Xenopus tropicalis: one gene and its partners. The protein of the gene in region 1 binds, or shares a complex with, the protein of each later gene. Links are inferred from orthologs where the notes say so. Each region holds a gene or a part of one and is shown in the gene's direction. Other genes may lie near its edges. The genes, in order: crcp, polr3d and polr3k.

What was found.
Region 2: crcp (region 1) and polr3d share a complex: the UniProt entries of both Homo sapiens proteins name them as parts of the RNA polymerase III complex. The link is inferred for Xenopus tropicalis from reciprocal best matches to the Homo sapiens genes CRCP and POLR3D.
Region 3: crcp (region 1) and polr3k share a complex: the UniProt entries of both Homo sapiens proteins name them as parts of the RNA polymerase III complex. The link is inferred for Xenopus tropicalis from reciprocal best matches to the Homo sapiens genes CRCP and POLR3K.

The regions. Positions count from the first base shown.
Region 1 is NC_030678.2:97,814,153-97,824,643, reverse strand, and holds the start of crcp (DNA-directed RNA polymerase III subunit RPC9), read left to right. Parts: upstream 1-4,680; 5' UTR 4,681-4,742; coding exon 4,743-4,750; intron 4,751-4,774; exon of another isoform or gene 4,775-4,972; intron 4,973-7,225; coding exon 7,226-7,262; intron 7,263-8,634; coding exon 8,635-8,733; intron 8,734-9,541; coding exon 9,542-9,636; intron 9,637-10,491. UniProt on the Homo sapiens protein: DNA-dependent RNA polymerase catalyzes the transcription of DNA into RNA using the four ribonucleoside triphosphates as substrates.
Region 2 is NC_030679.2:129,686,257-129,696,747, forward strand, and holds the start of polr3d (DNA-directed RNA polymerase III subunit RPC4), read left to right. Parts: upstream 1-4,949; 5' UTR 4,950-5,010; intron 5,011-6,060; 5' UTR 6,061-6,061; coding exon 6,062-6,211; intron 6,212-8,152; coding exon 8,153-8,196; intron 8,197-8,446; coding exon 8,447-8,595; intron 8,596-9,657; coding exon 9,658-9,782; intron 9,783-9,907; coding exon 9,908-10,079; intron 10,080-10,491. UniProt on the Homo sapiens protein: DNA-dependent RNA polymerase catalyzes the transcription of DNA into RNA using the four ribonucleoside triphosphates as substrates.
Region 3 is NC_030685.2:40,338,112-40,348,602, forward strand, and holds the start of polr3k (DNA-directed RNA polymerase III subunit RPC10), read left to right. Parts: upstream 1-4,288; 5' UTR 4,289-4,322; coding exon 4,323-4,433; intron 4,434-8,288; exon of another isoform or gene 8,289-8,311; intron 8,312-10,491. Other genes in the region: snrnp25 (U11/U12 small nuclear ribonucleoprotein 25 kDa protein), read right to left, coding at 4,099-4,119. UniProt on the Homo sapiens protein: Core component of RNA polymerase III (Pol III) which synthesizes small non-coding RNAs using the four ribonucleoside triphosphates as substrates. Can mediate Pol I proofreading of the nascent RNA transcript.

The DNA.
Region 1 (10,491 bases):
ATGGATTGTGGGAATCCATATGCTAACGAAGCCCTTTCAAAGGGCCACCTTCCCGTCGCGCCGTAACCAAAGCACCCTTCTCCAGCGCAACACCAGGCAAGCGAGCCAACATCTGCCTTTTAACCAAGCACATCAGTCTCCTGAGAGACTGTCAAAAATTGCCAGTGCTGACTATATTTCAAGTCATCACGGCGGGGTATTGGGAAAAGTTTTCAATTAGCAATAATCACGCCTCGGTTTGACCTCATTGGCTATGATACTGCCACTGCGCAAAGCTGATTGGGCCCCTGCCTAAGTTAAGGGGCCCCTTGTGGGACGGGCTTCTTTCAAGTGTGGCTACGGCTGCCCAGCCGATGCAATGGATTGTGGGAATCCATATGCTAACGAAGCCCTTTCCAAGGGCCGCCTTCCCGTCGCGCCGTAACCAAAGCACCCTTCTCCAGCGCAACACCAGGCAAGCGAGCCAACATCTGCCTTTTAACCAAGCACATCAGTCTCCTGAGAGACTGTCAAAAATTGCCAGTGCTGACTATATTTCAAGTCATCACGGCGGGGTATTGGGAAAAGTTTACAATTAGCAATAATCACGCCTCGGTTTGACCTCATTGGCTATGATACTGCCACTGCGCAAAGCTGATTGGGCCCCTGCCTAAGTTAAGGGGCCCCTTGTGGGACGGGCTTCTTTCAAGTGTGGCTACGGCTGCCCAGCCGATGCAATGGATTGTGGGAATCCATATGCTAACGAAGCCCTTTCAAAGGGCCGCCTTCCCGTCGCGCCGTAACCAAAGCACCCTTCTCCAGCGCAACACCAGGCAAGCGAGCCAACATCTGCCTTTTAACCAAGCACATCAGTCTCCTGAGAGACTGTCAAAAATTGCCAGTGCTGACTATATTTCAAGTCATCACGGCGGGGTATTGGGAAAAGTTTTCAATTAGCAATAATCACGCCTCGGTTTGACCTCATTGGCTATGATACTGCCACTGCGCAAAGCTGATTGGGCCCCTGCCTAAGTTAAGGGGCCCCTTGTGGGACGGGCTTCTTTCAAGTGTGGCTACGGCTGCCCAGCCGATGCAATGGATTGTGGGAATCCATATGCTAACGAAGCCCTTTCCAAGGGCCGCCTTCCCGTCGCGCCGTAACCAAAGCACCCTTCTCCAGCGCAACACCAGGCAAGCGAGCCAACATCTGCCTTTTAACCAAGCACATCAGTCTCCTGAGAGACTGTCAAAAATTGCCAGTGCTGACTATATTTCAAGTCATCACGGCGGGGTATTGGGAAAAGTTTTCAATTAGCAATAATCACGCCTCGGTTTGACCTCATTGGCTATGATACTGCCACTGCGCAAAGCTGATTGGGCCCCTGCCTAAGTTAAGGGGCCCCTTGTGGGACGGGCTTCTTTCAAGTGTGGCTACGGCTGCCCAGCCGATGCAATGGATTGTGGGAATCCATATGCTAACGAAGCCCTTTCAAAGGGCCGCCTTCCCGTCGCGCCGTAACCAAAGCACCCTTCTCCAGCGCAACACCAGGCAAGCGAGCCAACATCTGCCTTTTAACCAAGCACATCAGTCTCCTGAGAGACTGTCAAAAATTGCCAGTGCTGACTATATTTCAAGTCATCACGGCGGGGTATTGGGAAAAGTTTTCAATTAGCAATAATCACGCCTCGGTTTGACCTCATTGGCTATGATACTGCCACTGCGCAAAGCTGATTGGGCGCCTGCCTAAGTTAAGGGGCCCCTTGTGGGACGGGCTTCTTTCAAGTGTGGCTACGGCTGCCCAGCCGATGCAATGGATTGTGGGAATCCATATGCTAACGAAGCCCTTTCCAAGGGCCGCCTTCCCGTCGCGCCGTAACCAAAGCACCCTTCTCCAGCGCAACACCAGGCAAGCGAGCCAACATCTGCCTTTTAACCAAGCACATCAGTCTCCTGAGAGACTGTCAAAAATTGCCAGTGCTGACTATATTTCAAGTCATCACGGCGGGGTATTGGGAAAAGTTTTCAATTAGCAATAATCACGCTTCGGTTTGACCTCATTGGCTATGATACTGCCACTGCGCAAAGCTGATTGGGCCCCTGCCTAAGTTAAGGGGCCCCTTGTGGGACGGGCTTCTTTCAAGTGTGGCTACGGCTGCCCAGCCGATGCAATGGATTGTGGGAATCCATATGCTAACGAAGCCCTTTCAAAGGGCCGCCTTCCCGTCGCGCCGTAACCAAAGCACCCTTCTCCAGCGCAACACCAGGCAAGCGAGCCAACATCTGCCTTTTAACCAAGCACATCAGTCTCCTGAGAGACTGTCAAAAATTGCCAGTGCTGACTATATTTCAAGTCATCACGGCGGGGTATTGGGAAAAGTTTTCAATTAGCAATAATCACGCCTCGGTTTGACCTCATTGGCTATGATACTGCCACTGCGCAAAGCTGATTGGGCCCCTGCCTAAGTTAAGGGGCCCCTTGTGGGACGGGCTTCTTTCAAGTGTGGCTACGGCTGCCCAGCCGATGCAATGGATTGTGGGAATCCATATGCTAACGAAGCCCTTTCCAAGGGCCGCCTTCCCGTCGCGCCGTAACCAAAGCACCCTTCTCCAGCGCAACACCAGGCAAGCGAGCCAACATCTGCCTTTTAACCAAGCACATCAGTCTCCTGAGAGACTGTCAAAAATTGCCAGTGCTGACTATATTTCAAGTCATCACGGCGGGGTATTGGGAAAAGTTTTCAATTAGCAATAATCACGCCTCGGTTTGACCTCATTGGCTATGATACTGCCACTGCGCAAAGCTGATTGGGCCCCTGCCTAAGTTAAGGGGCCCCTTGTGGGACGGGCTTCTTTCAAGTGTGGCTACGGCTGCCCAGCCGATGCAATGGATTGTGGGAATCCATATGCTAACGAAGCCCTTTCAAAGGGCCGCCTTCCCGCCGCGCCGTAACAGAAGCACCCTTCACCAGCGCAACACCAGGCAAGCGAGCCAACATCTGCCTTTTAACCAAGCACATCAGTCTCCTGAGAGACTGTCAAAAATTGCCAGTGCTGACTATATTTCAAGTCATCACGGCGGGGTATTGGGAAAAGTTTTCAATTAGCAATAATCACGCCTCGGTTTGACCTCATTGGCTATGATACTGCCACTGCGCAAAGCTGATTGGGCCCCTGCCTAAGTTAAGGGGCCCCTTGTGGGACGGGCTTCTTTCAAGTGTGGCTACGGCTGCCCAGCCGATGCAATGGATTGTGGGAATCCATATGCTAACGAAGCCCTTTCAAAGGGCCGCCTTCCCGTCGCGCCGTAACCAAAGCACCCTTCTCCAGCGCAACACCAGGCAAGCGAGCCAACATCTGCCTTTTAACCAAGCACATCAGTCTCCTGAGAGACTGTCAAAAATTGCCAGTGCTGACTATATTTCAAGTCATCACGGCGGGGTATTGGGAAAAGTTTTCAATTAGCAATAATCACGCCTCAGTTTGACCTCATTGGCTATGATACTGCCACTGCGCAAAGCTGATTGGGCCCCTGCCTAAGTTAAGGGGCCCCTTGTGGGACGGGCTTCTTTCAAGTGTGGCTACGGCTGCCCAGCCGATGCAATGGATTGTGGGAATCCATATGCTAACAAAGCCCTTTCCAAGGGCCGCCTTCCCGTCGCGCCGTAACCAAAGCACCCTTCTCCAGCGCAACACCAGGCAAGCGAGCCAACATCTGCCTTTTAACCAAGCACATCAGTCTCCTGAGAGACTGTCAAAAATTGCCAGTGCTGACTATATTTCAAGTCATCACGGCGGGGTATTGGGAAAAGTTTTCAATTAGCAATAATCACGCCTCGGTTTGACCTCATTGGCTATAATACTGCCACTGCGCAAAGCTGATTGGGCCCCTGCCTAAGTTAAGGGGCCCCTTGTGGGACGGGCTTCTTTCAAGTGTGGCTACGGCTGCCCAGCCGATGCAATGGATTGTGGGAATCCATATGCTAACGAAGCCCTTTCAAAGGGCCGCCTTCCCGTCGCGCCGTAACCAAAGCACCCTTCTCCAGCGCAACACCAGGCAAGCGAGCCAACATCTGCCTTTTAACCAAGCACATCAGTCTCCTGAGAGACTGTCAGAAATTGCCAGTGCTGACTATATTTCAAGTCATCACGGCGGGGTATTGGGAAAAGTTTTCAATTAGCAATAATGTGAGGTGCGGCTGAGGGGGTTGAAATCACCAAAGCTTGTAGCTTAGCAGTAAAATGTGGATGAAGTTTACCAGAGTGCACGTTACATGGCTGTGGCACCCTGGGAAATTAAGAATATTCCTAGCCCTGTATGAAATTAAAAAAATAAATGTGTTTTTGAAAAATGGATTTTAATGCAGGATTCTGTTAGAGAAACTATTGTTATTATTAATTGGTTTGGAAAAAAAATGTTATTGTTCTTTCAGAAATCACACTGGGTACAAAAAGAAGTAGGAAAAGTGGTTGAAGAACTACACCATTACTATCTATATTCAGCCTGGTGAGGTTTCATTCTACTGGGAGACTGCCTTAGTTTGGGACGTTCAAAGCACTCAGGGACGCATCATACACTTGAATACAAATAACGCTTGCAAAAACGAAGTTGAATCCTACACGTGTTTCAGGAGGGTGAACTCTTCCACTTCCTGTTTCAGCGGTTCCGCAGCCTCCGTTTGGTTCCTGAAAGGGTCACGTGGCGTGACATCATCAGCTGCTCGACTTTTCGCTCGGCTTTTAATTGACCAACGTGAAAAACAGCATGGAAGTGTAAGAAATGTTATTTATAAATGTGTCTGTTTTAAAACGCTTCGAAATATTTAAGAGTTTTCTGCCATTTGCTTTCGAGCTGCTAATGAACGTGTGCGAGTGAAAGCTGGGTAGGCAGCAGCATGGTGTTACCTGAGAAATCATTCCAAAACTTCCGGATTGTATACGTGCTTAGCTGTATGTGGTTTCGATGTGTGTTTTTATGTGTTTTGCTGATTGACAGTAAGTACTTTACAATTACATATATAGTGGAACAGAGTAAAGGTTTATATCAGGTGATATTTACAGGGGGCTTATAAGCATTTTCTTTTAAAGAAACGCTTACCTTTGCACAAACTACCGTCTATGTAAAGATTGCACATTTCTAAACATATCTCTAACATAACCTCCAATATTAACAAAAATGCAAGCTAACCCCTGCATGCAGAGAGGGTTGCCGACCCCTGCATGCTTCTGGCTGATGCCGCCTACATAATCTTATGGGGGCAGTGCCAGGTTTGTGCAATGTCAGATTATTGTTGTTTTCATGGAAGTGTGCAGTCATGTGATTCTTTTTCTCTGGGGAATTGAAGCCCTACCTCTCCCTTTGCTTTCTGAGCACCCAAACTGAGAGAAGAGAACACAATAAGAAAAGTACTAATTAATAACATGCAGTATGTTGTTGAAGGCAAGATAGTAGACAAAGCTGACCTTATACTTTATTCAATTGGGTTTTTGTGTATTGGGTGAACCTTCCCTTTATTCATGCTTTTGATGTGCGTATGAGACACAGCTTAGAGCAGGGGTCCCCCACCTTTCTTACTTGTGAGCCACAGTCAAATGTAAAAAGACTTGGAGAGCAACACAAGCACCATAAAAGTTCATGGAGGTGCCAAATAAGGGTGAAGATTGGCTATTTGGCAGCCTCTATGCGCCCTATCAGCTTACAGGGGGCTTTATTTGGTAGGAAATCTTGTTTTTATTGAATCAAAACTTGCCCCCAAGTCAGGAATTCAAAAATAACTACCTGGTTTGGGGGCACTGAGAGCAACATCCAAGGGGTTGGTGAGCAACATGTTGCCCCCGAGCCACTGTTTGGGGATCACTGGCTTAGAGAGTGTACCTAGGTTGTGACTTAATTGGTTCCACATTATTCTGTCTGGTTGTAACAACAAGCCTTCATATCTGCGTTTAAGTAGTGCCACATTTGACTGCATTTTTCCAGACAGCATTCAGCATTTTTATGCACTTACATGCATAACATATGTGTTCTGATGTATTCAGCAAGCATTTAAAGGAGAAGGATAGTTATTTTGGCATTTTACTGCCAATATATTTGTCACATTAGGGCCACCTAGAACACTATATTTATTCTGCAGAAAGATTTACTTGAGTAAAGAGCCCTAAAATCTCCATGCGATTGTTTAAGATTGCAGCTACCATTTTAGCTTGGTCTTCCTAGTTTCCTGCTGCAGTTCTAGAGGCTGGTAGCTTAATCTAGGAAGACCAAGATAAAATGGTAGCTGCAATCTTAAACAATCGCAGGGAGATTCTAGGGCTCTTTACTCAAGTATAGTAAAGCTTTCTGCAGAATAAATATAGTGTTCTAGGACTAGGAGAGTTAGTCAGATACCCAAGAACATGTTTACAAAAACGGTGACAAGAAATCATGTGTTTTTTTGATAGAGGACTCGGTGCAGCTTTTCTGTAAGTGCTTATGGCCGTATTTACATACTTTTCTGATAAAGCTTACTTAGTTTTTACCTTTTCTTCTCCTTTAAATAGATGCACTTTCAGACACCTGATTTTGAGAGACCTTCAGAGTAGATCAAATAAGCAGAAGCTGACAAAGTGTCTTTTGTGGGCATTTTATTAAGCATTCAACTTGACTTCGAGTGTGATGTAGTTAGCAGTATTCTAAGACAGTTTGCATTTTGTCTTTTTATGTTTTTTTATTATTTTACTTTTTTATTCTGCAGGTCTCAGATTTGGAATTTTAACTACTATTTTGTTGCTATAATTCAATAACCCTACCAGCCAAGCAGCAGTTAGGAAGTCAGACTGGCATGTAAATAGAAGAGGGCCTTATTAGAAAATTAAGGACAAATGATGTGCCAAAAAAATCTTACCTATGGTAACTATGTAATAGCGTTAACTTTGGGTCTAGTAACTCACAGCAACCAACCTAAGGAAACTGTATCCCAAAGGTCTTTCTGTGGCTAGTGCTATCGTCTGGTTAAACTCTGATCTCAGCAATTATTTGCTTGAGGTCCATTTATTGGTTAGTTAAATTCAGTGCTCACAGAGTTGAATGAAAATGGACCTATGAATCACAAACAAGCTCAATACCTTTCTGTTGCTAAATAAGAGTTTTATAGGCATTTGTTGGCCTTGTACAAATGATCCAGCCATAATGATTGATTAAACAAATGACATATAGAATTGTTTATTTGTTTTGCCTTATGGTGAATTACTTTTCCTTCCCTTTTTTTTTAGAAAAGATGCAAATGCAGCGCTCCTGAGCAATTATGAGGTTGGTAAAACGGAATATTTAAACATGTTTGTGGTAGATTATGTGTATTCATTATTATCACATTGTAATTGCAGTGCTTGTGGGGAAATGTAATAAAAGCTATAAATGGCTTAAAATGCACAATTAAGAACAAACATTTGCATGTGCTATGTAAAATTATTCAGTAGACAGTTATATAGTGATCTATTGTGTACTGTTATACTGTTATATGTGTAATATGCTCACGTTTTTCCACTGCTGGATGGGTCACCAAATACTTTTCAAAATAGTGTAAATTGCCTATACTATTTTAGTTAATTTTTATTACATTCCTTCTTTGTTGAGCTTAATATATGCACATAGCATACCTTTCATAAGTGTGTCGTCATGAAACATCAGTAAAGCCTGCTTTACCTGTATGTAACCCACAGATCAGTTTGAGATGTCCATGGACTGTGTATGAGTCAGTGAGTAAAGATGTTGGCTGTGGGCAGAGCTGCCTCCAGAATTCCATTTTTTCACTTTGAGCCCAGAAAAATTTGCGTCTGCTTTAAAGGTGGAGACACGGAGCTACTAGAAGCAGCTACTTGTCATAGCTCCAAAGAATGCTGATTGTTTACTGATAATTGCCTCTACGTGTTTTAGCAGAGGCAATTCTCAGTATTCTCTATAGCAGGGTATTTTCTAACATTTTGCAGCCATGACAAGTAGCTGCTACTAAGTAGCTCCATGTGTCTTCACCCTAAGGATCCAAACAGCTGTACTACCCATGATATGTTATATGTAGAAACATGATAATAAGTCTGCTGCACTTATGCAGGTGTGTAAGGCATACGCAATAGTTAATGGGGATGTATACTCCGAAACAACTTGAGATAAAATTGCTCATTATGCCCTTTTGAGTACATTTGCAGTTTGCTTGAATTGTCTTTCTTTCATATTTTTCATCATGTTAACAGTTTTAAATTTGTACCAGCTGCCACTTTCTGTGCTGTCCACCAGAGTGTCAGGAGTTGTTTCTTGATGCTTGTTTGCTCAGCTCTGTTGTTCAGTGTGGCAGGAGCAACAGAACGGCGCATACCATATGGAGATATATGTATCTGTGTTTTTGGTTGTTTTATTTTCAAGGTTTGATAACAAATTCTGTTGACCATGTAGCTTGGAGATTTTAAAATGCAATTGTGTGAGGGTGAAATGGGCACCTACTTCCTACTTTGCTCTTTAAACTAATTACCAGAGAGCCATCATGCTTTCTTATATTGACATATACATGCACACTTTCAGCTTTGGACTGTAATTGGTGAAAGAAGATGATTGTGGCTGTGCAGAATGCAGAAGCTTAGGTCATCACATTTAGAATCCTGTTAATTAAAGTCTTTTTGTTACCACTAAGGTTTTTCACCTTCTTACCGAGTTAAAAGCTAAGCAGAGAGAAGTACGAAAAAACAAGAATAGTGTTGGACAGCAAAATCTCAATACCATCATGTATGAAGTAAGTTCTGATACATTTCTTGGCTGCTCTCTAGGCACTTAGGGGCCTGAAACATGTTGTGTTGTAAAAGTTGACGATAAAATTTAAAGAGCAGTAATTCTGCCTTATGGTGCTCTCCTCATTATTACAACGAATATACAGTGGGGGAACCTTTTGGGGGAGGATGTTAAAGGGGTTGTAAACCTAGCCAGTATGCTGTTCCAATGTGCCCCCTAATTTTGCTATAGACGTTGCCAAAAAACATAATTATAGATGCAAGAAAATTCACCAGTGAGAATTCTACTGTTAAAAAATGTAATTATAAATGCAAAAGAACTGACCAGTAAGAATGCTGATCCTCAGCACTATGCCAGACATCTTGCTGTTATCTTACATTTAGAGATAATTATGTCATTTTTTTCTTTATTATATGACACCGGAATCGGACATGGGAGATTTAGGGGAATATTTTTGAAATATTTGTAAGTTTTCAAAGAATACTACCCTGATGCTACTGGACTACAGCTCCCAGCATGCCTCAACCTTTAATATATGTTGAATTGTGTTCTGGGATTTGTAGTCTATCAACAGCTGAGTAAAGTTTGGTTGAGCAGTGCAGTGCAGCTGTTTAGTACCCCTTTAATATTGGACAATATTTTACTTAATTACATACATTTCTGCCATTAAATAGCTTTATTAGCTTTTATCGATTTAATTGCAAGTTCTTTGTGAGATATTTAAAAAATGCAAAATATTCTTATACATTTAGTGTTATGAGAATTTTATGTTGTATAAAAAAACACACTAAATATATATTTACTTTTACTAGACACTGAAATACTTGTCCAGCAGTCCATGCCACTATCAGTCCCCTGAAATTGTACGGGAATTTCTAACTGCAATAAAAGGGCATAAACTGACCAAGTAAGTGTTATTTCAGTGCACTTTTGATTTTCATCTAATATCTATGGAAGGGGTAATTGGCATAGCTTCTTATATTTGTGACTTTCATGTGTAAAGCACACATGGCACTTAAGAGCTTGTGAGTAAGTTGAGTTTATTTACATTTGTCGCTCTGGACCTCTGGAACGTTGACGTTCCACACTCTCTCACGCACGCACACTCTCTCACGCACGCACACTCTCTCACGCACGCACACTCTCTCACGCACGCACATGCACACTCTCACGCACGCACACGCACACTCTCTCACGCACGCACGCACTCTCTCACGCACGCACGCACTCTCTCACGCACGCACGCACTCTCTCACGCACGCACGCACTCTCTCACGCACGCACGCACTCTCTCACGCACGCACTCTCTCACGCACGCACGCACTCTCTCACGCACGCACTCTCTCACGCACGCACTCTCTCACGCACGCACTCTCTCACGCACGCACGCACACTCTCACGCACGCACGCACACTCTCACGCACGCACGCACACTCTCACGCACGCACACTCTCACTCACGCACACTCTCACTCACGCACACTCTCACTCACGCACACTCTCACTCACGCACACTCTCACTCACTTCCAATCCAATCGTGTGTACCACAACCGTTGTTAGAAAGTTGGTAAACTGCCAAAATAGGGTGCTGTGTTTACTTCAGTGCTGAAGCAGGTGCTGCCAGAATCAGCAATAGTACACAGTTCATTAGGTACAAGCCAATTCATTAACCTAATCTATAAATAAAGAATGATAAGAAGTTGACACTATCTCAAGGCATGTGATGTTAGGGATCGCTTGTGCCCTGTACTCATGATTTTAT
Region 2 (10,491 bases), on another chromosome or scaffold:
TGCCTCTTGTGTCTCCTTATCTGTTCCCTATGAAAATACTGTATGGCAACCAGACAATCAGAACTCCCTTGAGGCTTGTTAGATAATTGAAACAGTAAGACCCTTCCTATGAATGTCCAGCAGTGACCATGAGTGACTCTTATACTAGACCATTGTTGCTTAAAGAAACCCATCAAGGGTGGTGCATTGAGGATATGTAACCTACCCTGAACCTACTGAAACGCCATCTTGGGACAGGGAAATCATATGATGTTATACAGTTCTTTGCCTGTGATGGCTATCTCTTAAGGCAGTGATCCCCAACAAGTAACTCGGGGGCATCATGTTGCTCAAGAACCCCTTGGATGTTGCTCTCAGTGCCCCCAAACCAGGTAGTTATTTTTGAATTCCTGACTTGGGGGCAAGCTTTGGTTGAATAAAAACAGGAGTTACTACCAAATAAAGCCCCCTGTAAGCTGATAGGGTGCATAGAGACCCCTAATAGCCAATCACAGCCCTTATTTGACACCTCCATGAACTTTTATGATGCTTGTGTTGCTCCCCAAGTCTTTTTACATTTGACTGTGGCTCAGGATTAAGAAAGGTTGGAGACCCCTGAAAAATACTGTTATGAGAATATAAACAAAGCATTTCCCATAGATTCTGAACAAATGGCAATAATTGATTCTTTGAACAACTCGCTTGTTCAAGTTCTGCTATTCAATAATTAGAAGGCACAACACAGTTTACAGTGACAAGGGGCTCTGTGAACTTACAGTTTTATTGTTACTTTTTATTTTTTAACTTTCTATTCATATTTCAGTCTCTCATTTAAAACACTGCCTTGTTGCTAAGGTAAACAAGACTCTAGCAACCAGACAGCTGCTGAAATTCCAAACTGGAGAGCTGCTGTACAAAAAGCTAAATAACTGAAAAACCACAAACAATTAAAAAATGAATACTAATTGCAAACTGTCTCAGAATATCATTGTCTATGTCATACTAAAAGTTCACTTCAAGGTGAACAACCCATTTAATTTATATTTTTTTGACAATATGTCCCCTTTAAGCCCCCTCTTCTGCTCTTGGTTCCTTTTGACTTATGGCTTACTGTGTGTTTGATCTGCCAGGAAAAAACACCAGCAGAGAAAAGACCAATCTGTTCTACATTCATCCCATGTGTGTAGTGACAGAAATAACTGAGATCCATCTTCCGCGACACACGCAGGGCAGATTTTGGGCCACAAAAAATGCAAATACAAGCAGTATTTTACAATGGCAGAAAAAAAATGCTCAGTGTGCCATAAGACTTAAGCTAAGTACATATGCCTCTGCATATTTCCTCCTGTGTTTGAGCCGTGGGTGTAGAGAAGCCGATGCGCTATCATCTGCGTCATTTTTCTGCACTAACGTGCACTACGCCGATCTGTGTGCAGCATGAATTTCGCCATGAAAACGAGAAATTCATTTTCAAGCATCGGTCCTTTCTCCACCCGTGAAAAATGTGCAGGCAGAGAAGTAGCCGAGGAACAGCTTCACGTCTAGATTGTAAGCTCTACGGGGCAGGGACCTCCATCCTCTTGTGTCTTTGACTCTTAACTTATTGCAACTGTATCTTGTATTTATTTATTTGTATTTATTGTTATACTGTGTATTTATCTATTATTATCTTAATAACCCCCTGTTTGTATTAATCTATTCTACTGTACAGCGCTGCGTACATAAGAAGTGCTTTATAAATAAACATATACATACATACATACGTGACCAGTGTCGGACTGGCCCACCAGGATACCAGGAAAACTCCCGGTGGGCCCAGGTGTCAGTGGGCCCTCCTGCTCCTGACCATTTGGCCTACTTCATGCTCATTCCCTATTTCTGAATGGGAAGAAACAGGAGAAATAGATGGAAGAATAGATGTTAGCATGTAAATAAAAGAGACTAGGAGAATAAAGAGGTTGGATAAAGAAAAGGAGAAAAAACTTGTGGAAAGCGGCAAAAAAAATATTGCTTGGCAAGGCTACAGTTTATAGCTTTTTTTTCCTATTCAGGTCCTCCCCTATTCCTATACCAGTCTCTCATTCAAACCACTCCCTGGTTGCTAAGGTCATTTAGACCCTAGCAACCAGATAGTTGCTGAACAAAAAGTCAAATAACTAACAAACTACAAATAATAAAAAATTAACATCCACTGCAAATTGTCTCAGAACTTTACTCTCATCATGCTAAAAGTTAACTCAAAGATGAACAACCCCTTTAACTGCTGCATGTACTGTGGAAGTGAAAATTTTAGCCATGCTCACTTTGCAGCCACACCCTAAAAAACACTGAATTAATAAAAATATACCCCTATATACGTAGCTGAACAACAAACACACTGTGGCCCCAAAAGCATTTTATGATGGACACAGCGGTTACCTCTCTGGCAGCTAAACTTAAGACCAATTCTCTGTCTCTATGTGCCCAAAGAAGCCTTTCTACCTAGGATTCCTTCATTCCACCTAGCCCTAGTTTAAACAAAAACTTTTTCTTTTTTCACATCATAGTCAGTGGTGCCCTGATATGCTCTGATTAATGAAATACATAGTTTACCAGTAGTAACCTCCATTAATTTTACCCCCCTCTTTTCTTATATTCTTTTTCCTGTGTTCTTATGGAGGCCATGTAGCCCAAAATGTATTATTTGTCTGTAACTCTGGAGCGCCCTCTTCTGTCTTTTGACCTAACAGATGAGGTCTTATGAGGTAAAAATAAAAAATAAATATATAAAAAAATAGCGTGATATTGTTTACAAAAGTGTATGCACCCATCGGGAAGGGCTGCCGCGCCCAGAGAGCGATAACCGCAGGTCACGAATGGGGGAAGTGAAGGAGCAGTAACCCAAGCTATGGAGAGAGACTCTTGATAAGAGCATTTCCCAATTTGTTTGTGAGTGTATTAGTAAAATTGTTTTAATATTAAAGTGATTAAGATTTTGCACATGTAGGGGGAGATTTACTAATCCACGAACGGTCCGAAGGCGTCCGAATGCGTTTTTTCGTAATGATCGGTATTTTTGCGACTTTTTCGTCGCCATCGCGACTTTTTCGTATGTCCTGCGATTTTTCCGTCTCCGCTGCGGTTATTCCGTATATTTTCAGCAACTTTTTAGTCACCGTCGCGAAAAAAATCGGATTGGTTTTTCCGCCGTCTACTATCGCTCAATACGGAAAAATCTCACCGGCGACGCAAAAGTCGCGCAAAATACAATAAAGTGGCGACAAATACGAAAAATTTCGACGCCGATGAAAAAGTCGCAAAATTTTCATTTCCAATACAATTTTTTCCCTTTTGGGATTCGGATTCGTGGATTTGTAAATCTCCCCCCCCGTAGCGTGCATTTGTTAGCATTCCTGAGTAAATATAAGTGGAGAAGGAAAACTGAGAAGTTGCTGGTTTACTATCAAGCTTCCTAACTGGATATCCATTGATCAAAAATGTTTTTTGATAATGTCTGATTTATAAAAGTGAAGGGAGACGGAAAATCTGCAAATTCACAGAAGTGGTCACATTGGGTGCTCATAGACCTCAAGTGGATTTGGGTGTTATAATTTAGCAACATAACTTGGTGTGATAATTACAAAAAAGAGTGGTAGTAAAATATAACGAGCATGTACTTTTGTAAACAATATCAAGCTTTTTTTTTTTCCATTTTCACCTTATGTTAGGTCTAAAGACAGACGAGTTACACACAACTAATATTGGACCTGGGACACAAGGTATTTGGAGTAGGGATCAAATATTTGGATTTTGCACTATTTAAAGGAGACATATTGGATAAATGGGAAAAACCCTAATTTTGTAGGCAATTATGAATAATATTCGGTGCTGGTTTCCCATTGTGTTTAAAATTAATCCTATCTGTAAAAATGGCCCCTTTGTTGGAGCTCCCTATAGATCCTGTCTCTTCTCTGACCAAGTTTGAAATAAAGAGTGGGCGAGTCCTAACGGTCCCTGCCAGAAGCACAGTAGGAGGGGGAGAGCCAATCACAGCCCTGCACTCACACAAGCGCAGACAGGCTTCAGTTCCCTATCAGGTCAGCCTAGCTGCTGATTGGTTCCTATCCTACAGTGCAGTGTACGGAGGGCCGCCGGCTCCCCAGCTCATCCAGAGAATTCAGCCAGCAGGAAGTGGAACAGATGGGCGGGGCTAGTGGGGTTTTGGGGGAATTTCTCAATAAATCAGTCTGAAACACAACTTTTTTAAGCACATTCCTTCTATATCTAGAGGAGTATAATTCACTGGTACATTCATAATTTATATAGGATATGTCTCCTTTAATAATAATAATAATCATATTATTTTTGACCCAAAATGTATGACAGAGTAAACATTTACATAATTCTCCAAAAAAAAAAAACCCCAAACCTGATTCTTTAAAAAAACAAAAAACTTTTTTAGCCAAATTGGGAGAAGAGGCTCTGCTGTGAGCAGATTCTTGGACACTACCATCAATAAGCACCCTAAAACTACAGACTACTCATTATACCCGCAAGATACTTTTATATTAGCCCATATGTTGTCCCTAAATGATGGAAAAGTATCATTCCAGTCTTCATATAAAACTCTGGATCAGAACATAAAATAACTGATTTTGGGTAACTGTGGGTGGCAGTCAGTGTGGGCAAACTCATCTGCCAAACAGGGATCTTTACTGACGCCCTTTGGAACCCTGAAACTTTTAGAAAAAAAAATACAGCTACCCTCAAATTACAAAGTTGCTAAAAAGATCCTATCATTTTACCCACCCATGTTTTGCACACAAATTTTTTTCCTATTTAGTTCGAGCAGACTCAGCAGCACTCTCCAACAACTTGAGGGCTCCGCTCAGTCCGCTCGCCACTCCCACAAGGCGGCTACGTCCCGTGTCCCTGCACTTATATGTAGGCGTGACGTCACACTCTCGCGTGATGAGACTTGCGGCGTCGGGATTTCGTGTGAGACATGTGGAAAGGCGGAAGCAAGTAACAGCTCTGGGAGGTGTAAGTAAGGTAAAGCAATGGTGTTGAGAACTATGCACTTTCTTGGATCAGCCGGGCCCTCTGCTGTCAGTGAGCTGCAGTTTTGGGAGAGGAGCATTGGAGCTACGGTATTTGCAGCGGGGAAAGAACAAGCAGACTCCCCAGCTCCCTTCTGAAGTCTACAGCTCACTGACAGCAGGGGACCTGACTAATCCAGGTAAGCACAGCGGGCCCTTTTAAGGCTGAAGACACACAGAGCTACTAGTAACAGCTACTTGTTGTGGCTACAGAAACAGACAATGCTGATCATTTACTGATAATTGTCTCTTGGTGTGTTTTGGCAGAGGCAATTCTCAGTATTGTCTATGGCGGGGATTTTCTGGTATTTAGTAGCCGTGAAAAAGTAGCTGCTACTAGTAGCTCCGTGTGTCTTCACCCTAAGGGCAGTGACACACGGGGAGATTAGTCTCCACGCAACCAATCTTCGTTGTTGTGGGCGACTAATCCCGTCCGACCATCCCGCTAGAATGTAAATCAGCGGTGGGATGGCATATGCAGCCCCGCGATTTGCCAAAGTCGCCCGAAGTTTCCTCTCAAGGCAACTTCGGCAAATAGCGGTGCTGCGTATGCACACAGGGAGATTAGTCGCCTCAAGACCATTCTTTCTCCCCGCAATCCCATCCCACCAGCTAGAATGTAAATCGGCGGTGGGATGGCATATGCGCCACCGCGATTTGCCGAAGTAGCGCGAAGTTTCCTTGCAAGGGAACTTTGGCAAATCGCGGTGCTGCGTATGCCATCTCACCGGCGATTTACATTATAGCTGGTGGGATGGCATTGCAGGGAGTTTAGTCGCCCGCGACGACGAAGATTTGTCACACTGTGACTAATCTCCCTGTGTGTCACTGCCCTAAAATCCCTCATGGTGGCCCTGGGGCTTAGCCTCCACTACAGGTGGCCAGTTTTGTATATAAATATATAGACAGTGTTTTATAGAAAGCAAGCAGTAACATAAACACCACCACGTAGGTGTAGGAAACGTTCCTATCCCCATTCTCATGTATTAATTCTCCCCAACAGAATGTCTGACGGTAATCCAAGCAACGATGGTGGGGGGCCGCGTACTCCAATGGGCAGGGGGCTTGTGGGACGCAGATCTTCTACTCCTCTTACCCCAGGTCGCCTTCCTTCCATCCGCTCCCGAGATCTTACGCTTGGCGGAGTCAGAAAGGTGGGTTTCCATTGGCTGTTCTTACAGAGAAGTGGCTGGTCAAATGTGACTATCTACTGCCAGTTCTAATATCTGCACATATATGTATGTTGGATATCACATGTATCTCAACCAGGCCGTACTGTCACTAAGGGCGAAGACACACGAATATACTTAGAAGCAGCTACTTTTCATTGCTACTAAACCCCAGAAAATGCCCTGCCATAGACAGTACTGAGAATTGCCTCTGCTAAAACACATGTAGAGACAATTATCAGTCACCAGAGAATGTTTATTTTTAGCAAAAAAAAGCAATAACAAGGAAATGGAAAGACTCAACACCCCCCAAATATTCACATTGGCTCTCTGAAGTCAAACACCTATGTGCAATGGAAAGTCTAATATATAAAACTAGAGGAGCCCCCAAAAAACACGAAAAAATATGGGGAAAATGGCTAGAAAAATCCACTTAAGTGAGCTATGGCGGTATTTTCTCAAAGCATTTTATGATAGTATGTTTGTAACTGTAATATGTGCCAACATCCGAGGGAAACAGTCAGCAATGACAAGGGAAAGGAAAGTGCATACAAAAGATAAGGTTATAATGTAATTTAAAATGCTGTTGCAACTTTTGTTACTGCAAAACATGTCATATACTAAAACTACATTGTGGAACTCTGCCTCATAAATGTGATGTATATATGCTGAAACTGATGTAAAATCTTCTCAATAAACTTGCCTGAATTAAAAAAAAAAAAAAAAAGACAATTATCAGTAAATGATCAGCATTGACTATTTTAGTAGCCATGACAAGTAGCTGCTAGTAGTAGCTTCATGTGTCACCCTAACTTAATACTGCCCTGGTGCGGTTATTAGGGCTGTGACAGACAGGGAGATTAGTCGCTTGGCAAATAATCTCCCTGTCTATCACAGCTCTTAAAGGGCACCCCCCACCAAATAGGGGAAACAATAGCCTTTCTTTTAAAAACTGCCCCTGACAGCGCTGGGAGGGAGCCCCCGTTGTGGCCAGCCATGTTGGAGCCGCAACTTGACAACATAACTCATTATGCGCATGTGTGTAACTTAGGAGGGTGATTTACATCCACCACTCCTACGACACGTGCATAGTAAGTAAGCGGGGATATCCGCGCATGTGCGCCGACCAACATAGCCGATCGTACTGGGAGCTCTCTCCCAGTGAGGGTAGCCCGGCGCTGGAAGTTTTTTTTTTTTTTTTTTTTTTTTAAACTCTTGTTTCTCTCAACTGGAATGCAGGCTCTATTAGGCCACACCTCTGGTGGAGGAAACAATATTGGTGTGATAGGTGCCCTTTAAGTTTTTTTGGCTGTAGGACTCTCAGTGAAGATTCATTTATATCATAGGTGTTTTACGGGTCATATTCAGTCATGGAGGGGTAAGAGCAATGAGGTGCACAAAAGCACATTTGAGAAGTCTCTTGCGCCCCCCTGCACTCTGTGCCGGATAAAAAAAAATATTTGATGCTGAGTGACAAGCAAAGCCTCAGGATGGGCCCCACTTTGGGCTGAACATCGTGCTGCTACTACCTTGCCAATACCTCAGTATTAAGTACAAGATAGGGGGCGGGAGGAAAGGACGCCTGTGTGCCCCTCCAGCCACCCTTTTTAAACTACACAGTGGGCAAAGTGCAAAAAATGGGCGATTGCAGACCTTTTTTTTTTTGCACACTGCAAGGGGGCTTTGTAAATGAGCCTTTAGTGTTCTTGCCAAACATCTCTATCAGTTCATCTTCAAGAACGGACTCCCTTGTATTGTAGGTCAATACAAATTGCACTGATATTTTGTATAAATCCTACTTCATGTTATTTAATCAGTGTATGGGAAGGCTGTAAGGACATACATTTTATCGTTTTTTTTCTGTATGTCTAATAATATAAGAGTTTTGACATGTCTTAAAGACCTGCACTATCTCTTCTCTTACAGAAAACATTTGCTCCCAACATCATCAGTAGAAAGATAAAAGAAGAGTAAGGAAAATGGCACCTAAAGGGAACTTTCCTGCTTTGTTGTACCCATCTATTTATCTTCTTTTTTTTTTTTTACTGTATCTATTTTTACACCTTTATTTTCTGACTTTCTTGTGATGCTTCACTTATAACAGTTTTACGTTTGCTTTATTCTATATCTATCTGTAGTCTTATCCCCATGCTTCTATTCTGTCCATTCTCTTTCTGGTCTCCCCCACTTTCTTTTCACAATTCCTTGTGTTGTTTCCAGGCCCAAGGAGGAAGTGTCTGTTAAGGTAGAACGTGCAGAGCGTGGAAGGGACCGTCGAGATGGAGCAGGAAGAGGGCGTGGGAAGCCACAAGTCATACAGAGTCACTCCATCTTTGAGCAGGGACCAGCTGAACAGCTCAAGAAGAAAGGTAAAGCATGGGAAGGAACTGGTTTTTACTGGGAGCTCCAGATAATTGGCATAAAGCAGAATGTAACATTTTTGGTACAAAGCTGAACCAGTCACAGTAATTAACAAGACAGTTTGCGACTCAAGTGAGGCAGATTTTTGCCTTATATATGGCAATGTATTTAACACATAGCAGCACATAGTGCAATTTAGAAGACACGGGATACCCTAATGCATTATAGCCAGAGGCATAAATTGTATGCTGCATGATAGGTCCCCTCCCCAGCCACTAGAAACGTTGCCACCTGCTACCGCTTGCCCTGCTGAGGGCAGCATTGCGCTGGGGGGGAGTGGGTTGGAGACTGCCTATGAGTGTGGCGCCACTGAAGATCTCTTACAGGGTGTCCAGCACTGGGTGGCAATGCCACAGATTATAGCTCAGAGGGATGCAAGGGGTAATGGTTACATTTCAATTCTCATTTAAAGCATTAGTGTTTCAGGTCAGATGACTCATACAGGAATGCACCACACCCACAATTTTAAGATTTGGCCAAATACCAAATCCACTACAAGAGATTCCTGAATAAAATGCAAACCCTATTTTATATATTCTAATGGTTAAAATCCTCGCCCCACCCCAAACTTACAGCAGATGTATAATAGTATTGTCCAGTCATATGATATAATGGGCTTGGTTTTGGTTCAGCCATACATGACGGATATTTCAAATTAAAAAAGGCTGTAATTACGTTCAGATTCCAAACCAAATCTGGGGTTCTGTGCATCCCTAGATAAATACACTTAGGAAACAGCAATGTGGAGCATTGAATTTGTCTTTACAATCCTTACAGCTCATTGCTGTGTGTGTATTATTTAAGGCTATGACCTATTACCCTTGGGCTTACCTGTATGTAAGAAACAAGCAAGAATGGCTAAATGGCTGAATATATTTTTTTTGGGGGTGCGTTTGCTTTTTGGTTCATCTTCTTGTTTTAAACTAAAGTGACTTCTTCACATAATTTGCAACTGTGTCAAAAAGTACAATCTACATCTGTTCTGACTGTACCCTCCCTTTAAATTATAGTTGGATGGGATGGACCTTCAGAATCTGCTGACTTTGGCCCATCACACATCATTAACATAAAACGAGAGAAGCGAGAAACTGAAGAGGAGACGAAGGAGATCCTCCGCATGCTGGAAAATGACAAGGTAAATGGTTTACTCTGGAGAATTTAAATGAAAGACAAAGTACAGTACTTTTTTAAATAGTAGTTAAATGTGTTGTACATAGAAGTTAGTGAGAATAAGAATTTTTGTCTTTTTTTCCCTCTTAGTTTCTTGATGACCCTGGCCTCAGGAATGATTCTCAGAACCATCCAGTGCAGATCCCACTTGCCCATTCTGGCTGGCTCTTTAGGCAAGTGGATGAAGAGGAGGATATAAAGCCCATTCAAGGACAACTTAAAGAGGAAAAGATGGAAGTAGATGATACTTCTCAGGTTAAAGGTAATGTCCTTTGTAGACACAACTGTCTTTGCACTTTTCCTTTACAAAGAGCTCTCCAGATACCATGGCAGAAGTTCTCAATGTAGAGCAAAAAACCTAGCATCCGTAATGGAACTGGACTACATTTACTGAGAAAATTAAACTTTCATTAAACCTTAAAATTAATTCATGACAAATTGAAGATCATACTGGTTCTAGCACTACTTTTTCTCTGAGCACTTTTGCAATTTATAGTTATTTTTTATCTTAGCAGTTTCTTAGATGTTTGCATTTTCCAACTACTTATACCAGGCTTTTGGCTTAACTGAGAGTCTGCAACCCTAGGCTTATGTATGTATAGGAAGTGCACAGACAGGAGTGCTGACACTCTGACCTTCAAAGATAGTTGCTAAATTTAAAGCCTGGTATTAGC
Region 3 (10,491 bases), on another chromosome or scaffold:
TTATGCATTTTGGTAGAAATAATATAAACGCAAACTATCTACTGAATGGTAGTGTGTTGGGGGTTTCCTTAATGGAGAAGGATCTAGGGGTTTTTGTTGATAACAAGTTGTCTAATTCCAGGCAGTGTCATTCTGTTTGCAGTGAGGTAAAAAAACAATACCAAAAGTCCTCAGCGCTCAGATGTGATGAAGTATCCAATCTTACGTGAACCAAATGTTTGTGTAAATAGACTCGGCACCATCATGACACTATACACATCCCGAGTCTATTATCCAGCCCTCAATACCCTGATGTGGCCCGGAGCCCGGCACTCTAGGATTACCCTTGTTTTGCTGATCGCTACACATATCTATGAGCTTACTAATACCAATGATCAGTAGATAGTTTAGATGATACCGAAAGGGTTACACCTGATGACATCATTAACGTCAGACAGGAGCTTTACACGAGGCATAGATACTTTGTATCAGAGCTATATAAGGCTGGGTACTAGTGATTTGGGACCATTTGATCTTTGCTCCTGAGGAAGTGTACCGACAAGTACACGAAACGCGTTGGGCTTTTGTGGACATTGAGCTCCTGTATCACACTACTTTTGTAAGTTTTATTCTTTATGCAGTTGTTTTTTAATAAATAATATTGCACCAGTGGCGGTTCTTCTCTTTGTGTGCCTCATTGAGGTTACAGCCACAGCCTGCAAGAGGATAACCATCCTTGGTCTGCACGTTGATACAGTTGCGTTCCACTTCAAGGATACAATATCCGTTCATTTGGCTACATTCTGCAAATGAATACATCATGTTTGTTTTGCTTCAACAACACTGCCATCTGGTAAGCAGTTAGTGGTACTGCACCCTGGTGTGAATGTTAATCTATTGAGCACAAGCAACACTTTATACGGGGTTAAGGTTTCACCTTATATAAACGTTGCCACACCATTATTTTTCCTTTGTTTTTGTTTTTTTTTTTTCCCTTATTTATGCGCTCCGGATTTCCATATCGTTGAGTAGTGTCATTCTGTGGCTACTAAAGCAAATAAAGTGCTGTCTTGTATAAAAAAGGGCATTGACTCAAGGGATGAAAACATAATTTTGCCTCTTTATAGGTCCCTGGTAAGGCCTCACCTTGAGTATGCAGTGCAGTTTTGGGCTCCAGTCCTTAAGAAGGATATTAATGAGCTGGAGAGAGTGCAGACGTGCAACTAAACTGGTTAAGGGGATGGAAGATTTAAACTATGAGGTTAGACTGTCAAGGTTGGGGTTGTTTTCTCTGGAAAAGAGGTGCTTGCAAGGGGACATGATTACTCTGTACAAGTACATTAGAGGGGATTATAGGCAGATGGGGGATGTTCTTTTTTCCCATAAAAACAATCAACGCACCAGAGGTCACCCCTTTAGATTAAAGGGGACGGAGCTTCCATTTGAAGCAGCGTAGGTGGTTTTTCACGGTGAGGGCAGTGAGGTTGTGGAATGCCCTTCCTAGAGATGTGGTAATGGCAGATTCTGTTAATGCCTTTAAGAGGGGCCTGGATGAGTTCTTGAACAAGCAGAATATCCAAGGCTATTGTGATACTAATATCTACAGTTAGTATTAGTGGTTGTATATATAGTTTATGTATGTGAGTATATAGATTGGTAGGTGTGGGTTGTGTGTGCTGGGTTTACTTGGATGGGTTGAACTTGATGGACTCTGGTCTTTTTTCAACTCTATGTAACTATGTAACCTGTGCCTTTTCTCTTTTTTTCCAGGTAGAATGGCTGCCCCCATGGCTACACAGCAGCTTATTTATATAAGCTATAGTACCATTACTTTAGCAAATACACAACTTGACCTGTGCAGGGTAACAGTACATTATAGTTTAAATACTTTAATACACTTTCATTTTTGGCATTACTGTTCCTTCAAGAGAGAACTAAAGACTACCTCTTGGAGAACCAGAGCCGTCTCTCGCTATATCCCAATAGCACTTGATATTTCCCTAATGCTCACTGTGGATGTTCAGTAAGCATTCTGCAATATCACACATATGGGCCCATTTATGAATGTACAAATTTAGATTGTGTTAAAATACGATTTGCGAAAATTCGTATACTTAACGATAATTTCTGATGTGTGGAAATGTTCAGAATGTGGTATAGATCGTGGTACGATCCAAAAGTTACGAAATTTTCATATCCAAACAATCGTAAATGGCGCGAAAATCTTTGTGTGACTTTGAACCTTCAGTGCATGTTTTTGGAAGCCACCCATAGGAATCAATGGCACTCTGCAGCTCCAACCTGGCCAAAGGAACGTCACGATACCGAAGCTTGAATGAATTACGAAACTTTCGTACAAATTATCACAAAGTACGAACAAGTCACAGAAATAAACGAAAATATCGTAGAAAATACGCAGAGTTCTAAAAGTTTGAAAAAATACCATTTTTTTGTAATCGTAAACCATCGTACATTGATAAATGGGCCCCATATTGTGTGTATTTGCAATGACATCAAATAGCACACGCACAGGTTATTAGCAGTGCACTGCAATAGTTCCCCAGTAGACAATCTCCTGGGGTTGAAAGCTCTGGAGCACATGCATAAACTGGGAACTGGTAGTGAATACAAGGTACAGTTGCTTTTAAGGGCACCTTAACAATATAGGGGTGATAGGTGCCCTTTAAAGCAACTGTACCTTGTATTAATTTCTATTTATTATTATACTTTGTACCAACGGATAAACCATCATATCTAATTTATGATAGCTTTCACCCTGACCACACTAAACACTCCATAATCTACAGCCAGGCTCTACGATATAATCGAATATGTTCTGATGCTACTGAAAGGGACCACCACCTAAGAACACTCATGGCAGATTTCATTAACAGGGGCTACAACCCAAGGATTGTGGATCAATATATCCATACAGCCACCAGGATTCCCAGAAGTCAACTTCTACAATACAAACAAAAAACAGAAATAAATTGAATTCCTCTAGTTGTCACATACGATCCCCAACAAAAGACCCTCAGAAAAATAGCCAAGGATCTACAGTGTACACCTCAAAAGGATGAGAGGCTCCAAAACATATTCCCAGACCCACCACTTCTGGCATTCAGGCAGCCCCCAAACCTAAAACAACTAATAACAAGAAGTGCCTTAATTCAACCCAACAAAAAAGGAACTTATCCCTGTGGCAAAAAAACAATGCAAAACCTGCCCACACATCTGTAATTCAGATTTCAGACACATTAGAGGAATACAACATCCATGGTCAGTACAACTGTTCTTCTTCCAATATGGTGTACTTAATACAGTGCACTAGATACTGAACAGGAGGACTGTATATAGGAGAGACTGGTCAAAGCCTGAGAAAAAGAAATACACACCACCGTTTTACTATAAGAACGCGATTTCTGATGGTGGCCCTGGTTCTATCAATTAGATGCTCTGCTGTACAGTGCTTCGTACATAAGTACTGTAATGCTTATACCATGTGGGGTTGATTCTCAGCACATGAAAAACCACAGGCCAAGAATCAGTTCCTTGGGCATCAGCCTCCTACTTTTCCAGGTCAAACCACTGCGTTGGCCCAGGTGCAAGCATACAATATGAATATCCACTCTAAAATGCTAAATTTACAGTTTCTTTGCTGATATCTGCCATGTGTGCCTGCACCCAGGCCAGCCCAATAGTTTCTGGTGCAGGCAAGGTAGGAGGCTGTCAGCGGAGGGACTGATTATCTGCATGCGGGTTTCCATGCGGCATCAGCCGTATATAAATAAGAATATAAATAGTTTATATAAACAAGCTTCTATGCAGCCATGGAGGAAGCACTTCAAGATAAAAAAAGGAGAAAGGCACAGGATACACAGCAGATACCAGATTAACACGAATATACCACCACTGCATTTTATTACAGAGCATATATGTTATATGATATCCAAACCTGTGCCTTTTCTCCTTTTCAACTTAAATGGCTGCAAGACTTCTAGTTCTGCTTTTGCTTTGCAAAAATTGCTCTTCTCGTGTTATCAGTTTTTGGGAGCTGGACTTAAATGTAGAAATTTAGAATTTCGAGTTAAGTTTTTCAACGCAATTTCCACTACCCACCTTTAGTTCACACCGTTTCATTCAAGTTACAAATGGAACTGTCGCAGATTTCTAGGGCGCCCATTAAAGACGTCATCACCGGGCGGAAACGTGCGCAATAAGATGTAATGTAGGTGAATGCGAGGCTAGGGCAAACGCGTGGTGATCATTCTGCTTAGGCAGCGGTACTGGCGTCTGGAGGATGAAGTGGTTGATGCGAAGTTTGAGCTAATCTGTTAGCAGCAATGTTGCTATTTTGCCCGACGTGTGGGAATGTGCTGATCGTGGAGGAGGGACAGAAGTGCTACAGGTTTGCCTGTAATACCTGCCCTTATGTGCACAACGTTAATCGCAAGGTATAATGAGGTCTTCTGAAGTGATAGAAATATGGTTTTAAGCGGCGTAAGTGTAGTCCTGGTGGCTACGAAGCCTTTTTATGCCTTGTGTATGCCAAGCATTGCTAATTGGCAGATAACATTACATTAGCAACAGTACAATGCGCTGATTTTTAAGTGCGGGATGAATCTGTATAAATTGCTAACAACATATTCTGGTAATGGCTGGGGCTTTTAGCTCTAAATTGTGTAAGTTTAATAGACTTACAAAGTTAAAAAGGTGATCTTATCATTTATGTTTTATGATAAATACTAAATAAAATGCATAGTAAATAGATACACCTGCTACCCCCACCCCCCAAAATGAACATTTGAATATACGCATATGACCTGTGATTTTTTTTTTTGTCTGATTTTTGCTAGTTTGTGGCCAAGGTCTTGCTTTTCTTCCTTTTTGGCTATTACCCTTCTGGGAACAAATCATCATAGAAGGGCACACTTTTAACCCTAAATTCACAATACCCAGAACACCACAGCACAATCACTTCCCCTGTGGAAGTGCATTACCTTGCTAAAGCACACTAATATCATAAATATATATTATAAAATGTGTCCTAACACTTTCATAAATAATATCTAAATAAATACATTTGAATATATATTAATACATAGGGAGTTCTGACCGCTAGATACTTATTTGACAAACTTTAAGGGGAAATACTGTAACCCTATCTTCACCACTTCTGGCACCTTTGACAGTGTTACACTCCACGAGTGGCGCTTACCTGATGGCACGGGACAAACCTGAATCACTCCGCAGTGGTATTGGGAGAGACTGGGTACCTGGTACTTATTAGCGCAGTGCCTCCACCTAGTGGGATCCTGGAGTGCACCTACGGGTGGCCCCACTAGGAACAATAATAATGCACACACAGTACTTGATAAACGAAATAACTTTTATCTGAAATAAAGGGGAAACTAATACAGATAACACTCCTATCCAAGTGGCAATAAGGGCCTTACTAACTAGCTTTGCCAGCGCAAGCTGTCTCACTAACTATGTACAGTCCTTTAGCTCAGTCCCAAAAGAAACAGTTTATATAGTTTAAATCTTCAAGCGCTCCTTTATTACTTTCACTTTAATGATACTCACTCCAGGAATCTCTTTGGGTGATTCACACAGAATCTTCAGGCGAGTCCAGCACTCACAGCCATGCAGTGCGACTACTAGCCCCTTTAGCTACTCAGATGGGATTCCCCTGCAGGTGTTTGTTCCTCCAGTCAGGACTCCTCACAGGATCTCTGTCTCTCCAGGTACAGGGTCTGCCTTCCCTGTACCAGCCTGTTCCAAAGGCCAGCTTCTTCTTGTGCTGCTCCTCTCTCTGAGCCCACGTGCAGCTTCTGGAGTTCTGGGGCTTTTTCTCTCCTCCCACTGACTTCCTCTCCCAGGCTGCTTTGCAACTTCCGGCAGCCCTGAGCTTGCTGTTCACCTTGTTGCTAGGCAGCAGCTCACAGCACAAAGTCTCAGTGCCAGCTCCCCTACAGGGAACAGCAGCAGGAGGGGGGTAAGTGCAGGGACCCAGCACTACCTCCCTACATTCTCCCCCTGCTTGAATGGGCAACGTCCTCGCTTGCCCTTTCTCACCATTCTTATTCTCCCTAACCTTTGGGGGAGATACACAGGGGAAAGCTTCCTCACTAACTGCCCTGACACTTCCCCTGCCTGAAGGTCTACGCATTCCCAGGCCCAGTCTCTTACTTTTATTGGGGGTGCCAGAGTGCTCAGAGACCATCCTCGTGCCACAGGATTTCTCTTCACAAATATTCACTTCACATGGGAAAGATGTCACATATACATCAGTGAAGTCTTCATTCCGTCCCCAGTCACAGGTGTGGGAAGTATGACCGTACCAACCACAGGTGTAACACCTCACCTGATTACGTCTCTTCCGATACCTCTTTTGGGGTGGCTTCCTCACAGCACAGCCATATGAAATAACTTCTGTAGCTGCAGCATTTTCACGTTGCGTCGGACAGTGTGGGGATATATGGCCCAACCGGCCACAACGGAAGCACTTTGGTGGGTCACCGCGAGCACCACCTGCTTTAGGAAATGAAGAGGGTCTAGACATAGTTGACCCCTCTTCCTTTTCGGACACACGAGCCTTGAGCTGAGCAACCTGTTTTTTTAACTCGGCAATCTCTTCCGCTTTCTGCGAATCACTGGATGTCCTTTCAGAACCACGTCTTTTCTTCTCTCGTCGCAGAACATTAACTTCCTCCTTTCGGATCTCACGGATCAGCTCCTGATAAGTTGGTTCTTTCTTTCCTCTGTAGAAAGATCTCAACATCACAGCTGTGGGGTCCATAGATAAAGCCCCTCTGAATAACTGTTGTAGCCTCATAGAATCAACACGATCTGTAGCAATGATTCTTCGGCAAACAAGTAATTTTAGCATTTGCTGCAGTCGCTTCAAGTACTCAGACAGATTCTCTTTTTCTTTCTGCATGCAAGACTGAAATTTGTACAACATTTCAATTTCATCTTCCACCGGTCCATATGTATCTTCCAGTACGTCTATCAACTTCTCAGGACCATCTTGTGGGCACACCTCTCGTTGGAGCTTAATTAGGTCCAATGCAGGCCCTCGCAAACTCTCCTGGATCTTGCGACATAAAGCAGGGCCAGAGCCAGGCCAATCGGTAATAGCAACCAAAGCAGCATCTCTCCAGGCCTCAAAGGCCTCTTCACCTGGAGGAGTAGGTTCCATACCTGAGAATATTTTTAGTCTCTTATAATTTCCATTGTATGCCAGCTGTCTCCAATTCTCACCGACTTGGGCCAAGACTTCCACCAGCTGAGCTGCCTCAACAACATCACTTAGAGGTCGGCTCCTCCCAGCAGAGTTCAAGCTTTCACATGATGCAGTGTATTTCAACTTTGTCTCAGGTGTCACATCAAACAGTCTTTTAGTCACTGGGCTGTGACCAGCAGCAGGTATCTGTGGGGTGCCACTGCACAGGGGATTTGGGTTCTCCAGATCACCTCCCACTTCATCCTCACTGTCACTAAGTTCCTTCTCCTCAGGGACATCCGGTAAGACAATTTGCCAGTAACCATGGTCTTCCGCCTGCACACCACGTGCACATGTTTCTCTGTTAATCTCACCAGGACTATCCACAAGCACATTTAAGAGGATGCCATCTGGGTCTCGTCGCGAAGCTACCACTCTAGGTCTATAAATAGATCCATCTGCATCTAGGATCTTGTAAATAAATTCCTCTTTTGTTTTTGGTATCATAGGGCCCACTACAGCAGTCTTTTTCGGGTTTAGGCCCAAACTCTTGCACCAGTCCAGAACACTCTGGGGACTCTCAGTAGATGACGCCATCTTGCTTCACTTTCTGTGCAACCAGGTCCCAGCGAATCTCAGCAGTGCCTCCAAAATGTCTATCTTCCCCACTTCTGGCACTTTTGACAGTGTTACACACCACGAGTGGCGCTTACCTGATGGCACGGGACTAACCTGAATCACTCCGCAGTGGTATTGGGAGAGACTGGGTACCTGGTACTTATTAGCGCAGTGCCTCCACCTAGTGGGATACGGGAGTGCACCTACGGGTGGCCCCACTAGGAACAATAATAATGCACACACAGTACTTGATAAACGAAATAACTTTTATCTGAAATAAAGGGGAAACTAATACAGATAACACTCCTATCCAAGTGGCAATAAGGGCCTTACTAACTAGCTTTGCCAGCGCAAGCTGTCTCACTAACTATGTACAGTCCTTTAGCTCAGTCCCAAAAGAAACAGTTTATATAGTTTAAATCTTCAAGCGCTCCTTTATTACTTTCACTTTAATGATACTCACTCCAGGAATCTCTTTGGGTGATTCACACAGAATCTTCAGGCGAGTCCAGCACTCACAGCCATGCAGTGCGACTACTAGCCCCTTTAGCTACTCAGATGGGATTCCCCTGCAGGTGTTTGTTCCTCCAGTCAGGACTCCTCACAGGATCTCTGTCTCTCCAGGTACAGGGTCTGCCTTCCCTGTACCAGCCTGTTCCAAAGGCCAGCTTCTTGTGCTGCTCCTCTCTCTGAGCCCACGTGCAGCTTCTGGAGTTCTGGGGCTTTTTCTCTCCTCCCACTGACTTCCTCTCCCAGGCTGCTTTGCAACTTCCGGCAGCCCTGAGCTTGCTGTTCACCTTGTTGCTAGGCAGCAGCTCACAGCACAAAGTCTCAGTGCCAGCTCCCCTACAGGGAACAGCAGCAGGAGGGGGGTAAGTGCAGGGACCCAGCACTACCTCCCTACAATACCTTAAAGAATAAGCCTTTTTTTTTTTTCTATCAGTAAAATTACTCTAAACAACCTCCAGAATTACCTACTTACCTACCTTTGTCCCAGCATTTTGTCCCAGCATTAGTGAAGCCCCGCCCCCCACTTCTTGTTCAGTTTTCTCTTCAGTTCCACTACTCTAGTGGACCTGGAGAGCCTTCTGGGCATGCCTGGAGGCAGCAGGAGCCAGTCTGTGCATTAGCAGCGTTTTTTTTTTTTTCTTGATGAGAGACCAAAACAGGAAGTGGGGTCGGGGCTTCACTCTGCACAAAGAAGCAAAGGAAAGCATTAACTTCTAACTGAGGAACCAGGTCAGACAGGATGCTGGAGTCAGTTTTAGAGTAATTTTACTGCATAAACTGCCCTGGCTGACATATACTATGTAGACAGCAGTGGCACCACCAGGGTCATAAAAATGCAAAATACTAATAACAGTTTGTAAACATCACAATGGGTATTTATCCATCCAGATAGCCATGTTTGTGCAACGTTTCGGGAAAGTCACATCCCCTTTCTCAAGCACATTATTATGGCCATCCCATATTGTAGAAGCACATTTGTTTGTAAGACCATGGGGCTGATTTACTAACCCACGAATCCGAATTGGAAAAATTCCGATTGGAAAACGAACATTTTGCGACTTTTTCGTATTTTTTTCGATTTTTTCGTAGCAGTTACGACTTTTTCGTTGTCGCGACTTTTTCGTAACCGTTACAACTTGCGCGAATTTTCGCGACTTTTTCATATTGAGTGCTCGTAAACTGCGGGCAAAACTTTCAGACTTAGCATGATTTTGGAAGCCTCCCATAGGACTCAATGGCACTCTGCAGCTCCAACCTGGCCCAAGAAAAGTCACGATACTGAAGCTTGAATGAATCCGAAACTTTCGTACTCGGCACGAAGGCTACGGAAAAGTCGCGACAATTCGCGCAAGTCATAACGCTACGAAAAAGTCGCAACAATTTCCGAAAAAATCGCAAAATACCGATCATTACGAAAAAAACGCAGTCGGACGCTTTTCGGACGTTCGTGGATTAGTAAATGTGCCCCCATGTATATAAAGAAGATGGAAGTGACGTAACTGGTCGCCATTGAGACGGGACACAACAACATTCACGGAAGCAGGTACACCACCATCGTCTGCGTTTTACTCTCTTTGACATAATTTATACACATAAAATTAAGCATTACAAGAAAAGATATAAATCAAAATCCCTGTGTAATATATATATATATAAAGGTCCCGATGGGGACCGAAACGTAACGTTGGCTGTTCATGCGTTTTTAATACACAATTGATTGTTTTTGGAATATAACTCGGTGTTGCTGGTCTTTTTTTGATATTTAAATCATTTACCTTGCACCAGAGCTAAGAGCTGAAGCAGAGTGCCACCCTGGGTTCGATATATATATATAATATTTCTCTGTTCACAGAAAAAAAAGCATTCTACAAACACACCTGGTTCACTTAAGATGGCCATACAAGGGCCAATTTCAGCTGCCGACATTGGTCCGTTAGAGACAGATTCTGCAGCTTATCTGCTTTTGTACGGGCACCACTGCCAGGTCTCCCCGACCGACCTATGGCCTGAAATTGGCCAGATCTCAATCAGGCAGGTTTGATTTTTCCTATGGATCCTATCGGGTCTCGCCAAATGAGCAAATCTTACACTGTATGGCCACCTTTATACTTGACCCTTTCTAGTTTCAGTTGATTCAGTTCAAAATTAGCCCCCTG